Linked DNA regions of Danio rerio. The protein of the gene in region 1 purifies or fractionates together with the protein of each later gene. This does not show direct contact. Links are inferred from orthologs where the notes say so. Each region holds a gene or a part of one and is shown on either strand. Other genes may lie near its edges. The genes, in order: aplf, lig3 and chd1l.

Region 1 (4,309 bases):
AATAGTTGTCTATGCACTGCATTACTTCATAAAGAGGATCCAATGGCACTTCTAATTATAACGGTCCAATGACGGCCATCACTATCATGACTGTTAAAGCTCAGTGTTGTTCATCAAACATGTTGCAGAACATTAAATGACTGCATGAGGCCACTTCACTGTTATATGGCTGATTTAAAGCCCTCATCTGTCACATGAAATGGCTTTAAGAACACAGCGTTCAGTCTTGTTGCGACAGATTTCCTCTTAAAACAGGAAGTTTGTCTGAGACGGGCAGGATGTGTCATTTTGAAAGAGAATGGCTGTAAATGTAAGTGTTTATATGTTAAAAGTGATCAACTTTTAGGTGCACATTAGCTTACAGATGCCCATCAAGCAGTTTTACGTTTAATAGATGTCTAATAGACATCTAAACATTGACAGGTTGGCTAAAGCAAGACTATATTTGGCCTTAAATCTAACAGATGTCTAAGAATAGCCCAAAAGTAGACTATAGTCATCAAATGCCAAGGTTTAGACTTCACACGTGTAGTCATGTATTCCTGTTTATTTTATGAGTAGTTTAGTATTTTTAGATGTCTATTAGGCTTATTTTAAACACAATAAATGATTGATGGGTGGTCTCAAAATGAACAAACATTAACTAAAAAAAACTTTTTTATTTTATAGGGTATTTAACATCCACTATTTACATTGTGGCTGTTCTTCCTGGGATCCAACAAAAAAAAAAATTAGGAATTTACATGAAATCATGATCAAAAACAATACCAAAAGAAGATTATTACATTCAAATAAAAAAAACTGAAACTATATAGAATATTTTGTCATCATATTCTCAGCCTCCAGTTATTTCAAGCCTGTTTGCGTTTCTTCTGTTGAACACAAGAATAACATATAAAGAGAAGACTGTTGAAAACTTAGCCACTGACTTCCACTGTATTGTAATTCCTACAGAAGTCAATGGCTATCAGTTTTCAACATTCTTTAAAATATCTTCTTTTATGTTGCTTTAACGATCACTACAGACATTTGTTAATGCGATAAAAACTATTTATTTACATCAGTTCATGAGATATGAGTGTCTTATTTCTAACCCTCAGATGTAAGAGTTTGAGTGCCATCTTCAGGACTTGGTTGCTCATCGCAGGAAGATAAATGGCCTGCATTAAACTGAAAGTAACAGATTTGGTTGAAGACCCTAAAGCAGCGCTTACCAAACTATTACAATAAAGCTGTCATGGTGATTTACTAATTTATTAATATTGAAAAATAAATAGAAAAATACTTCAATCATATTAATAATTATATATTTTTAAACAGTTTTTAAAATGAACTTCTTACACTAAGAACATAAATACATTTATAACACAATGCTGTTTAATGCTGAATACACAAGTCAAGCTGAACCTGCCTTTGGCTTGATTTGTTCGCCGATGACTTAGGTGTTGTCCTCTATCTTCGAGTGACAGTATTTACATTTTCAAAAATCTGATTCATGCACATTTAATTGAAACATTTAATTCCTGTTGACTTTTTTGTAGCTCAACAATTAAACAAACAAACAAAAGGTTACGTTAAATTAGAAATGTCCATCTGTGTTGAAGACATTTGATGCAACCTTCGTTCTAAATCTCTTCTCAGATGGGATGGCCAAATCAAAGTTTACCATGGGCCAACTTTGAGCAACTCTGCCCTAAAGTAACAAGTAGAAAACATTCAGCGGGCCAAAATATTTTACTTTTGCAGGTTTAATGTCTTTAAAAAGTCTTACATTTTACGGTGAAATAGCCAACAATTTAATTGTTGGGTCCTGATTACAACAATAAACATTAGCATGTTATCGATCACTTACAGTATAGCTGCTTTAAATCAAATGAAATTTAAATAGTTTGAGCAATAATGTGATTAATTAACCACCATATTCCTGCTTAAATAATGCCTGCTTAAATAGTATTAATAAATAAATATATTTATAATTGCCTTGTATGCTTAATTAGAAGAAAATTAAGAATAAAAAAGCTTTATATATATATATATATATATATATATATATATATATATATATATATATATATATATATATATATATATATATAATTATGAAGACAATCTGCATTTGTTCTTTGTTTTACTCCTAAAATACCCACTTACAAACTTGAGAGGATTTTAATAATGCACATTTAGAATAAATTTACATAAACATACATGTCTCTGTTATTTTTATGCATCAAAGAGACTTGTTTCCCCATATAATATTTACTATACAGAATGTAAAAACTTCACAGCTCTAGATCTTATATCTGCTTAGAAAGCAAACAGAACCTTGTACTTCCAAGTTGGCACCCATGTTATCAACTTAAACCTAATAACTGGCACACTGTTAAGAACACATAAAATAATTTAATACATATATGATTAAGCCATATAGGTGAAAATGTACTGCACCCCTAGAAATGGCCCTCTGCCCAGGACAGTCTCTCCATAGGGCAGATCCACAGGACTGCCACCGTCCACCTGCTCCAGCTCAAAGCCTGGCATGATCTGTGCAGAACAAAACACCTATTTTAATTAAAAATCAAAGTGAATGCTGGTTAAATAAGGACATAAAGTGCATGCAACTGTTCTAAAGCTTATCTTGATCCCGCATGCGCTGCTCTCTCCATACTTTACATGATCTATACAAACTCTGTCATTTAGTAACTAACTTCAAGATGTTACTTACTGCTGATTTAGACGGCTAAGATGAATGCGTTAGTGTGTTACAAACAGCAAGCAAACTGATCGCTGCTTCATTAGTACAGAAAACGCGAAAGAAACACTGTGATCACGCCAGAATGTAGTACAATTTGAATAATAATTATTTTTCGTACGAGAATAAGGACTTCCGGTCAGCTCAAACTATGAGCATGCGCTGTTTCAATACACACGATAGACATTTTCTAAACGTTTGCGCATAAATTAGCAAAAATGCATATAATAATACGAATATTGAACGTTTAAGTAATACATTTTCCAAACCATACTTCTGACTTAAAATAACTCATAAAGTGACGCGCATGCGTGGTGAGTACGGGGCGAGGCTTGTCTAGTGACGTTTCTGGGGTAAACAAACCAGACGTTTAAACCCTCAGCTGTCAGCGCTGCTTTCGGTATGAATTTTCACAAATTACCACAATATTTTCACAAATATCATTACCTATCGTACCTCAAATAGACATATAAACGCGAACATCTTGGGTTTGTTTTTTAAAATCTGTTCTAGTCTTTGTTTAGCTAGATTTACATTGTCGGCGGTGCATCTGCTTATAAAACTAGGCCTAGAATGTTAATTACACTCGCTGTTTAAACTTTAACACCTTAAATAGCATTAGATTTGTGATTGAACTCTTCTGTCATAAGAATAACAGGTGTTTAATAAAGGTTTGGGGTGGCCGAGCAATGCAGAATGTCTGTAGAAGGAGCAGCAGCGCCGTCTGCAGGCCAGAAGCTGACCCGGTGGTGTTGCTCCGGGCTTCAGGATCCGCTCCAGATTGAGGTAAAGTTTACATTCCCACTTTATATCCATCTAATATTTTTTTTTTACATCAAAAGTTTAACTGGGAAAACAATTCATGCAGCTTTTGTGAGAAAGATATTGAAACTGTAGAACATTTTTTTTTTTCAATGTGAAATTCTAAAAACATTTATGGAGGGAGTTTCAGTACTGGCTGCATTACAAACAAAGACAAATATACACTTTCAAAGTTGGTATATTTTTAAAGGGCAAGGACCTAGACTTTTTGGTAAATAATCTAATTATTCTAGCTAAACACTTCATTCATAGATGCAAATTTGTAAAGGTGAAACCCCACTTTAATGGATGGAGGAATGATCTGAAGATGTTTGTAAGGACTTCTCACTTCATGACGAACAGAAATGCCCGTAAACTTTCACACACCTTGGACTCGTTTATATTACTTGATTAAGACTCTCACCCCCCCCCCCCCCCCCCCAACCTCCTTTTTTTAAATGAGTTTTATTTTTTATTTGTGTGTGTGTGTGTGTGTATGTGTGTGTGTGTGTGTGTGTGTGTGTGTGTGTGTGTGTGTGTGTGTGTGTGTGTGTGTTTTGTTCCCAATCATGTACTTTTAAATCAACTCTAATACTATATGTATTGGACTGTTGAATATGCCGTCATGGTTTGTACTTTAACTTATGGTTAATAAAAAAAAAATAAAACAATAAAAAATATTCCCACAGTTGTTTATTTTTGAACAATGACAACATGTGACAGGATCCCTATCTTTTTACAGTCTATGGTGTCTATAGT
Region 2 (4,405 bases), on another chromosome or scaffold:
TCCTTCATTTCCCCTGCAGACTCGCTGAATGGGTTTGGAACGATCTTGCCGATCCTGACCAGACCTTTCATGATCTTGTCTTTGCATTTCTTGCAGCCAGCCGTGCCACGTTTGGCATATTCAACACAGTATCTCTGCTCCGCCATATCCGCTTGTTCACTCCTCCGCACAGGCCAGGAAATGTGGAAATAAGAGCTGGATATTAAAGTAAATGCTGGAGTGTGTGGCGCACAGAAAAAGACTCCACTGGGGCTTGATTCAGAGCCCCGTGTAAATATAAGAGTCCTCGAGCACTGGAGATATTGGTGTTTGAGTGTTGCTCTAAATAAAGGCTCCCAAGAAATTTTGGTCAAAGATGATCTGCTGAGTGTTCTTAATGCCCTGCCAAGCCAAAGACTGGGCATAAAGTTCAGTAAGACAGAAAAGTCTTCATCTCATAAAATAGACGCGAATCCTTCAAGAAAAATAGAAATAGAAAAATAGTTATCATGGTTAATGGTGGTCATTTTGAGTTGAGTTGAAAACTTAAGGCTAGTATGGTGAGCTGGCAGTAGGGCTGTGCGATTAATTGAAATCGAATTGTAAATGCGATTTGAAATGTTGCATTTAGTTAATCGCAAATGTCTGAGATATGAAATATATATCTGCATAATATAATTTCCCCCACCCAGAGCAAATGCGTGACTGCCGTCTGTGTGTGACAGCCTTACTAGCAAATTGAGTGAGCTCACTTTTGTCTGCCCAATAACAATTGCACAACTGAACTTTGAAATAACTAAAAATAGCTGATTTATTTATGACTATGTATTGGAAAAAAACAACTGAAACACTCAATGTAAACAAGTAAAGAAAAAAGGTACGAAAAAAGGTATTGGTTAGGCATGGGACAATAACCATTATCAAGGTTCCGGCGGTTTAAAAAAGTCACGATTTTAAATCGCCAACATTTTCTGTTATACCGTTCTTACGGTATATGTAAGATTTTTTCGTTTTTTAGGACAACAGTATCTCCAGCAGAAATTATGTCCAAAAATGCCGCTTTTAAATTGTAAGGACATTTGTGTTTTAGAAACTAATGAAGACAGCAGAAGTCTGTAGCTATGTTTCCATCCAAAAATGCGAATTAACTTTATGCACCCAACTGGATTATCGCATAAAAGACGTGCAAATGAAGCAGCGTTTCCATCCAACAAGTCAAAGAGAACAAAATCGTCACTTTATTATTATAATTAACTGGCACCAAATATCAACAGTAAAAACGGAATTTGTGGAATCTGCGGCAGGAGAAGCTGCATGACTCTTTTCCTCATTTAATAAATGACTTGCGCCTCAGAAGACAATGCTGACACGCAATGAACAAGTGATGGTGTTTGAAGAAATGAGATGAGGAGCAAAAATGCTCTCGACAGTTCTGGGGGTAATTAATAATATAATAACACTAATACTGCAACGGTTAAGGATTTTTAGAAAGACCACAACAACATTTCAGATGTTTTTAATCTGGTCAGCCTGCTGATTTGTCCATTCACACACATTTTTATCATCACATGATCTCTTATAACAAAATCACATGACCTTTTTAATGTGCATACTGGAATTTGTTGCTAAAAGTGTTTCCATCTTAGTTTTTGTGCATCTTTTGTTGTTGAATAAAAAGTTTATCCTACTCAGTTGTGCATACAGTTTTTATGCGCATTTTCAAAATGTATGTGCATCTTGGCGATTTGGTGGAAACATAGCTAATGAATCATATGAATCATTTAGCCTGACATGTTGACTGTTTCAAAATAATTTAAAAATTTCCCTAAATTAAATTACATTGTGTTCAAAAAGAAAATAGTTTTAGTTTTTTACTCAGACTTTTTAAAAGAGCATATTTTAGAGCAGTAATAGCAATTCCGTGAAACCGTGATATTTTTATCCAAGGTTATCATATCGTCAGAATCATATAGCAACCAATGTCTAGTATTGGTACAGTGACAAAATGCAAAACCTACATACATGCAGTCAATCATATGTCTTTTTATGAATCATACAGTAATGTTCTGTTCTAACTGAGGTAAAGTTGGTTTTATATTCACTCATTCGTTCAGTAGCAATAAGTGCCAGGCTCCCAATACTGTTGGTACTTTGAATATTCGGTCTGAAATCATATGTAAATATGACTTCAAAACAACATTAGCACTATTTAACTGACTGTAAACATTGTTGTACTTTGATCGTCATAATAGTCTGATAATGTGATTTCACTATTTACAAATAATATTTTTCTAAAATTATATTATTTAAGAGAAAGTCTGAATGTACGAATATAAAACGAACTTTACCTCGTTTACGTTTATAAAGAATTTAGTCGTGTGAATTACAAAACACCTGCAGTAAAACAATGCAGTGCATGTGAAAATAGACTATTTAGCAACTTTAGAAAAACTAAAACGGTAATTTTCATACAGCCTGTCCTAAATTTATCGTTTCATACAGATACAATGTCACTTAAATTTATTTGTTTATAGTTTTGTTTACGTGTCGCTTTGTTGATCAACGTGGAATTAGCTCACATGCTAATGTTAGCTGCACTCTGCACCAACAGCCATAAAGAAACTAACTACAAGAGGCAGCATTGAAGTTATTTTAAATTCCGGATTACCTCAGTCTTCATTGTTAGCCGATCCCAAGCTCCGGATTTCATTTTTAAAAAGCACTCACAGATGTATTAGCAAAAGAGCATGATTTCTGTATTGTGTGCTGTCCCCTTTAAATCACACGAGTTCTTCCTCTTTGTTTGGAAGTGGTTCCTGTTCAGTGCGCATGCGCAGAAAATTCATGTTCGTTTCATGGTCATATTATGTGTTGTTCAAATCGTTTATCTATCTACTTGGCACGAATCCGAAGTGACTGATTCTAAACACAACATTTTCTCGTTGAGACTCGTTGTAGTTTAAAAAAAAAATAAAACACGTTTTCTAACCAAATAAAAGCTTGATATTAAATCCACAAAGTGATGTTTTCCAGGACCTGTTAAGAGAGCTTATATACTGTTTTATCATGATAAGAAAAATGTGTGTGATATTCAGTAGTGGAAAGAGTACTAAAAACATAATCATGTAAAAGTACCTCTTGCCCAAAAATGTAGTCCAAGTTGAGTTAAAGTATCTGTTGTAAATACTCAAAAGTATGAGTAAAAAGTAGTACTCAAAAGCTGGGAGAGGTTGATGCGTTCACATGTGATTTGTGCATGTCTGTGTAAACGTAACATTCTGTAGTGCAATGTAACGTTAGGGGAGCGCGGGGCACAAAGTAACGTGGGGTAAAACGTACACTTACATTTTAAGGTATTTTTTCAGGGTTAACCATGCCATCCTTCCAGGTTTGCACTGCAGCATCGGAAGATGCCTTCATAAGTTCTGCAAAATTTGGATGAAAAACAGGAGAAACCATTATTGCAGCATAAAAGTATTTTTTATTAAACTCTATTTTTTTTATTTTTAAAAAATCTGTGAACATATGTATGAAAAGACTTTTATTTATGTGATTACCATCTTCAAGGCTAAAAGATGGAACCATTTTGAAAAGTGTGAGACTGCTTGCCAGTTTTGAGGAAAACATAACACAGAGTGTTGTAAGGGGGGTTTACAAATAATCCACACACTGTTGGACACCGATTAAACTTAATAATTGTTGAATGTTGAGAACTTTTCATATAAAATGTTTTTAATAGAAAATATTTTAATAGAAAAAAATAATTTTATTGCTAATAAATGGATTGTATAATAACGGATAATTATGCAAATAAATCCAAATGTGTTTATCCAATAAATAAATAAACATGCTGTGCTATGTAGAATAAAAAATAGCTACTGAGGAAATACACTATTTAAAGTAAACAGAATTTAAATTAATTGTGTGAAATCTGCCTTTTTAAGCATGTGTTACAACTAACTCACTGTTACAACTTGCCCCGCAGTTGGGGTAAACAGTAACATTTTTACTCCTAGCACTTTTGGCAATACTGCACAGAAATCATAGGACCGGCGATCATACTTTCAGTGCTCATTTGTAGGAGCGGCTTGTGTGTTGCTGGTAAAAAAAAATATGGTTCGGACTTTGTTTATTATTTGGCCAAAACCAAAAAGTGTTACTTTGTGCCCGGCTCACCCCTAATAATACATTTCTTAGAAGTTTGATTTATTATCCTGCGACTTTTAGACGCAAGTACTTTTGGAATAACCAATTTGAGAATATCGACTGGAACTTGATCTGGACTTATAACAACAAATATTGTGTCACATGTAGAGTCAGTGAAATGTACTTTAAAATTATACGTAAAATATATCAACCAGTTTCTCAAGAGTTATAAAGCTGATCTTTCTGAATCTTGTTTTTTTGCAGAATAATGGTAAATATT
Region 3 (3,654 bases), on another chromosome or scaffold:
CATCAGAATGGCTTTATAGTATCTCTTCTGAAGAGCAGACAGCCCATGAAAAACTACGAGCTCTGTCTTCTTGGGCAGTTCGGCCGCCACTTCTGCCTTAACCCTGCGCAGCAAAAACGGCTGGAGCACTTGATGAAGCTCATCGACTGCAGACAAGAACAACAATATTACAAACTCCAGCACAAATGTGACAAATTTATGAGCTCTATCCTCTGACAGCCTCTGGCAAATCTGACAGGAGTCAAGGAGACAGCATCTATTCTGACATCTTTTTTTAGGTGTGTGTGCTCTGTCATGTCTGTGGTTTATCTGAGGTACTCAGTTTGGCACCAGATCAGACCAATTTCTTCATATCACTCAGATCAGAGCTCTAATAATAACAAAACAAAACGATTTAAAGGAATGGTTCACCATAAACTGCTCATTTTGTCATCATTTACTCCTCTTTTACTTGTTCCAAACCTGTTTGACTTTTTTGTCAAACACAAGGGATGATATTTTGAAGAAAGCTACTGTAGGAACCTATATACATTGACCTCAAAAGTGTTTGTTTTTCATACTATGGAAGTCAATGGTTGCAGGTTTTCAGCTTTCACAATATATTAATTTGTGTTCATCACAAGAATCTCATAAATGTTTGGAAACACTTGAAGATGAGTAAATAGTGAAAACATTTTCGTTTTGGTTGAACTATCCCTTTAAGTAAATGTTTTCTGTCGGGAAGTCATGGCACAGTAATTTTCACCAAAATCGACAATTAAAGCGACCAGTAAAAGAGCTTTTTATAATTTTATAATTTGTAATTTTATTTTATATAGAGCTTGCCTATTAAACTAACGCCCTCAAGCTTTATTAAGGCAGTTACTATGACTACTTAAAGGGCACCTATGATGAAAATCAACTTTTGTACGCTTTCTGGACAGAACTGTCTGTATGTAAAGTGTGTCCACAGTCATATTGGAGTGATACAAACCCAACAAGTCTCATCATTATTATTTATTGACATTAAAATCATTAAAATAGGACCCAAATGTCAGTAATTTTGAGACCCACCGCAACGTGACATAGGAGTGCAGTTTTCCCCACCCACCGAATTGATTTACAGGCATCATGTTTGTATAATAACATGTATACACACGTCCACAGAACAATTTGCAAATAAACTGGGATTCAAATATTTGTTACAACTCTCTGTGATTTTTAAAAGTTTAAAACATTTTTAAAACAGAGCATGTTTGTAATAAAGAAAGTAAAATCAAAATCGACTTCCTAACAGTTATAATCACCATGTGCAGTGAGTGTGTGTGTGTGTTGCGTCATATTTGTGTGAGACTCATCATTTCAGAAAGGCTTGAATTAACTCACAAATACAAATACTAGTTATTTTTTACTAATGAGCTGTATTTAAGCTTTATGCGCGCCTGTCTCTATCACTGACTACTGTTTATTTGACCTAACGCATGATGAGAAGCAGACATGCACGTGGGAATGGTGGGCGGGGAGAAGCAGCTTGTTTGCATTTAAAGCCACAGGCTGCAAAAGCAGCTACAATGTACTCAGACACCAAAATGGGAAAATTCTGGAGGCTATAAAATAATATCTAATGGGTATTTTGAGCTGAAACTTTACAGACACATTCTGGAGACACCAAAGGCTTATTTAGATTTGTAAAAGGGGTAAAAAAGGTGCCTTTTAACATTTGATTAAGCCAAAAGCTTTAAGTGCTAATAAGGGTCGTGGTAGATAAAACGTCTTTCAGCGCTAAGGATTTGATTTTTATACTCAAACTGCAATGCCTCGCGCTGTCATACCAAGAGCAGGTTCAGTCTGTATGTCTGCGTAGGCATTGACAAAGTCCTCAACAGCTTCAGGGAGAAACACACTGGGCTGGATGAAGGTGAGGAGGGAATAGACTTCTTGTAAGTTATTCTGAATGGGGGTGCCTGTCAGTAGCACTCGAAATCCCACTGTAAACTGTGGGGGAAAAAAGGATGTCAGTTAATAGAAAGAGAAAGCTGAGAAAATGACAGGAAGGGGAATTATTATCAGGAGTTTTATAGACTGACAGTGAATTTATATACAACAATGGCAAATTTTAAAGCATTAGCATGCCTATTGTGTTAAAGTGGAATTGTGTAACCTCTTTGAGGGTTTGGTGAAGCAACGACTCCTGGTTCTTGAGGCGGTGAGCCTCATCCACAACTAAAATCTTCCATTTCCAGCTGTGGGAAGAAAAAAGTCACTTACAACAATAAAACCGATTACAATTTTCATGTTATGATACATTATTGGGCAACACGGTGGCTCAATGGTTAGCACCGTTGCCTCACAACACAGTTGCCTCGTTCGATATCCAGCTGGGTCAGTTGGCATTTCTATGTGGAGTTTGCATGTTCTCCCCCATGTTCATGTGGGTTACCTCCAGGTGCTTCGGTTCACTATAGGTGAATTAAATAAGCTAAACTGTTCATGGTGTATGAGTGTGAATGAGTGTGTATGGATGGTTTCCCAGTACTGGGTTGCAGCTGGAAGGGCATTTGCTGCATAAAACATATGATAGATAAGTTGGCAGTTCATTCCGCTGTGTCGACCCCTGATTAATAAACGGACTAAGCCGAAAAGAAAATGAATGAATGATTTGTACATTATTGTTATTATGTTGTTTCATGTTGATAACTGATATTTGTTGGACATAAAAAAAAAAAATTAGACAATATTTTTGTCTAAATAATTAAAAATATGACACAAAACCTTTACAGCTACAAATGGCTAATTTATTATAAATCAGTTATTTTTAAAAAACCAACGACAAGCAACTCTAATCAAAAACAATAAAAAAGACAGAGAAAAACAACATTTGGAACAAAAAAAAATTATAATAAAATAGAATTTGGAAAAATTTCATAGGGCTTAAAATTCAAATTGTGGAATTAATCAATATTTACATTTAAAATTAGGTTACGAAGAAGTCCTGTAAAGTGCTGTGAATTGTGTAATTTTTATCCGAAATTGGACGTAATCTCAACTAAAACATGAAGAGAGAGTGGGACAGAGTGGCTTTGTTTTATTGTTTTTCTCACAGCTCTGTCAGTGAAAACGGTTGAGCTCAAGCACATCAAATGAAAAGCAAATGAGTGTTGAAGGGGGCGGGGCATGTCAGATACTAAAGAGCATAAGATTGACCAAGATTTGAGGAGAAACTGAAGTATGAGGTTACGTGATTTGTTGATCCATTAGACATCCTTAACTAACATACTGCTTGTTACATCTAAAAAAAAACTTTATTTTAATTTCACGGAACCTTTAACTTTAAAAAGTGTTAAATGACCACAAAGCATGTTTTGAGAGGGAATTTAACATTAAATAAACAAAATTTACAAATATACATCTCCAACACCATCATTAAATAATAAGTGATAAAAAATATATATATAAAAACACTATTCTGGATCAGGGTGGGGCCAAGTAGGATCACTCTGATCCCCCGAGCTCTTCAAGGGTTGTGGAAATTCCACATTGAACCAAAACAAACCATTACAATTGGCTTAAGATTGGCAAGGAAAATTCAGCACATGCGTCAACCAGCAGAACTTAGGCGGAAAAAACACTATTGTGTAAACACGGTTAATTACATTCAAAATTCCTGAGTAGCAG

What was found.
Region 2: the proteins of aplf (region 1) and lig3 purify together in Homo sapiens (affinity purification with mass spectrometry; 3 studies listed by BioGRID and IntAct, counting the BioPlex papers as one, with this or other methods). This does not show direct contact. The link is inferred for Danio rerio from reciprocal best matches to the Homo sapiens genes APLF and LIG3.
Region 3: the proteins of aplf (region 1) and chd1l purify together in Homo sapiens (affinity purification with mass spectrometry; 4 studies listed by BioGRID and IntAct, counting the BioPlex papers as one, with this or other methods). This does not show direct contact. The link is inferred for Danio rerio from reciprocal best matches to the Homo sapiens genes APLF and CHD1L.

What each region holds. Positions count from the first base shown.
Region 1 is NC_133176.1:54,936,948-54,941,256, reverse strand, and holds the start of aplf (aprataxin and PNK-like factor), read right to left. Parts: upstream 2,887-4,309; 5' UTR 2,723-2,886; intron 2,560-2,722; exon of another isoform or gene 2,542-2,559; 5' UTR 2,539-2,541; coding exon 2,446-2,538; intron 1-2,445. Other genes in the region: fbxo48 (F-box only protein 48), read left to right, coding at 3,446-3,535. UniProt on the Homo sapiens protein: Histone chaperone involved in single-strand and double-strand DNA break repair.
Region 2 is NC_133180.1:66,733,623-66,738,027, reverse strand, and holds the start of lig3 (DNA ligase 3), read right to left. Parts: upstream 2,807-4,405; 5' UTR 2,648-2,806; intron 455-2,647; 5' UTR 405-454; coding exon 1-404. UniProt on the Homo sapiens protein: Isoform 3 functions as a heterodimer with DNA-repair protein XRCC1 in the nucleus and can correct defective DNA strand-break repair and sister chromatid exchange following treatment with ionizing radiation and alkylating agents.
Region 3 is NC_133181.1:39,408,265-39,411,918, reverse strand, and holds part of chd1l (chromodomain-helicase-DNA-binding protein 1-like), read right to left. Parts: intron 2,223-3,654; coding exon 2,141-2,222; intron 1,975-2,140; coding exon 1,812-1,974; intron 147-1,811; coding exon 1-146. UniProt on the Homo sapiens protein: ATP-dependent chromatin remodeler that mediates chromatin-remodeling following DNA damage.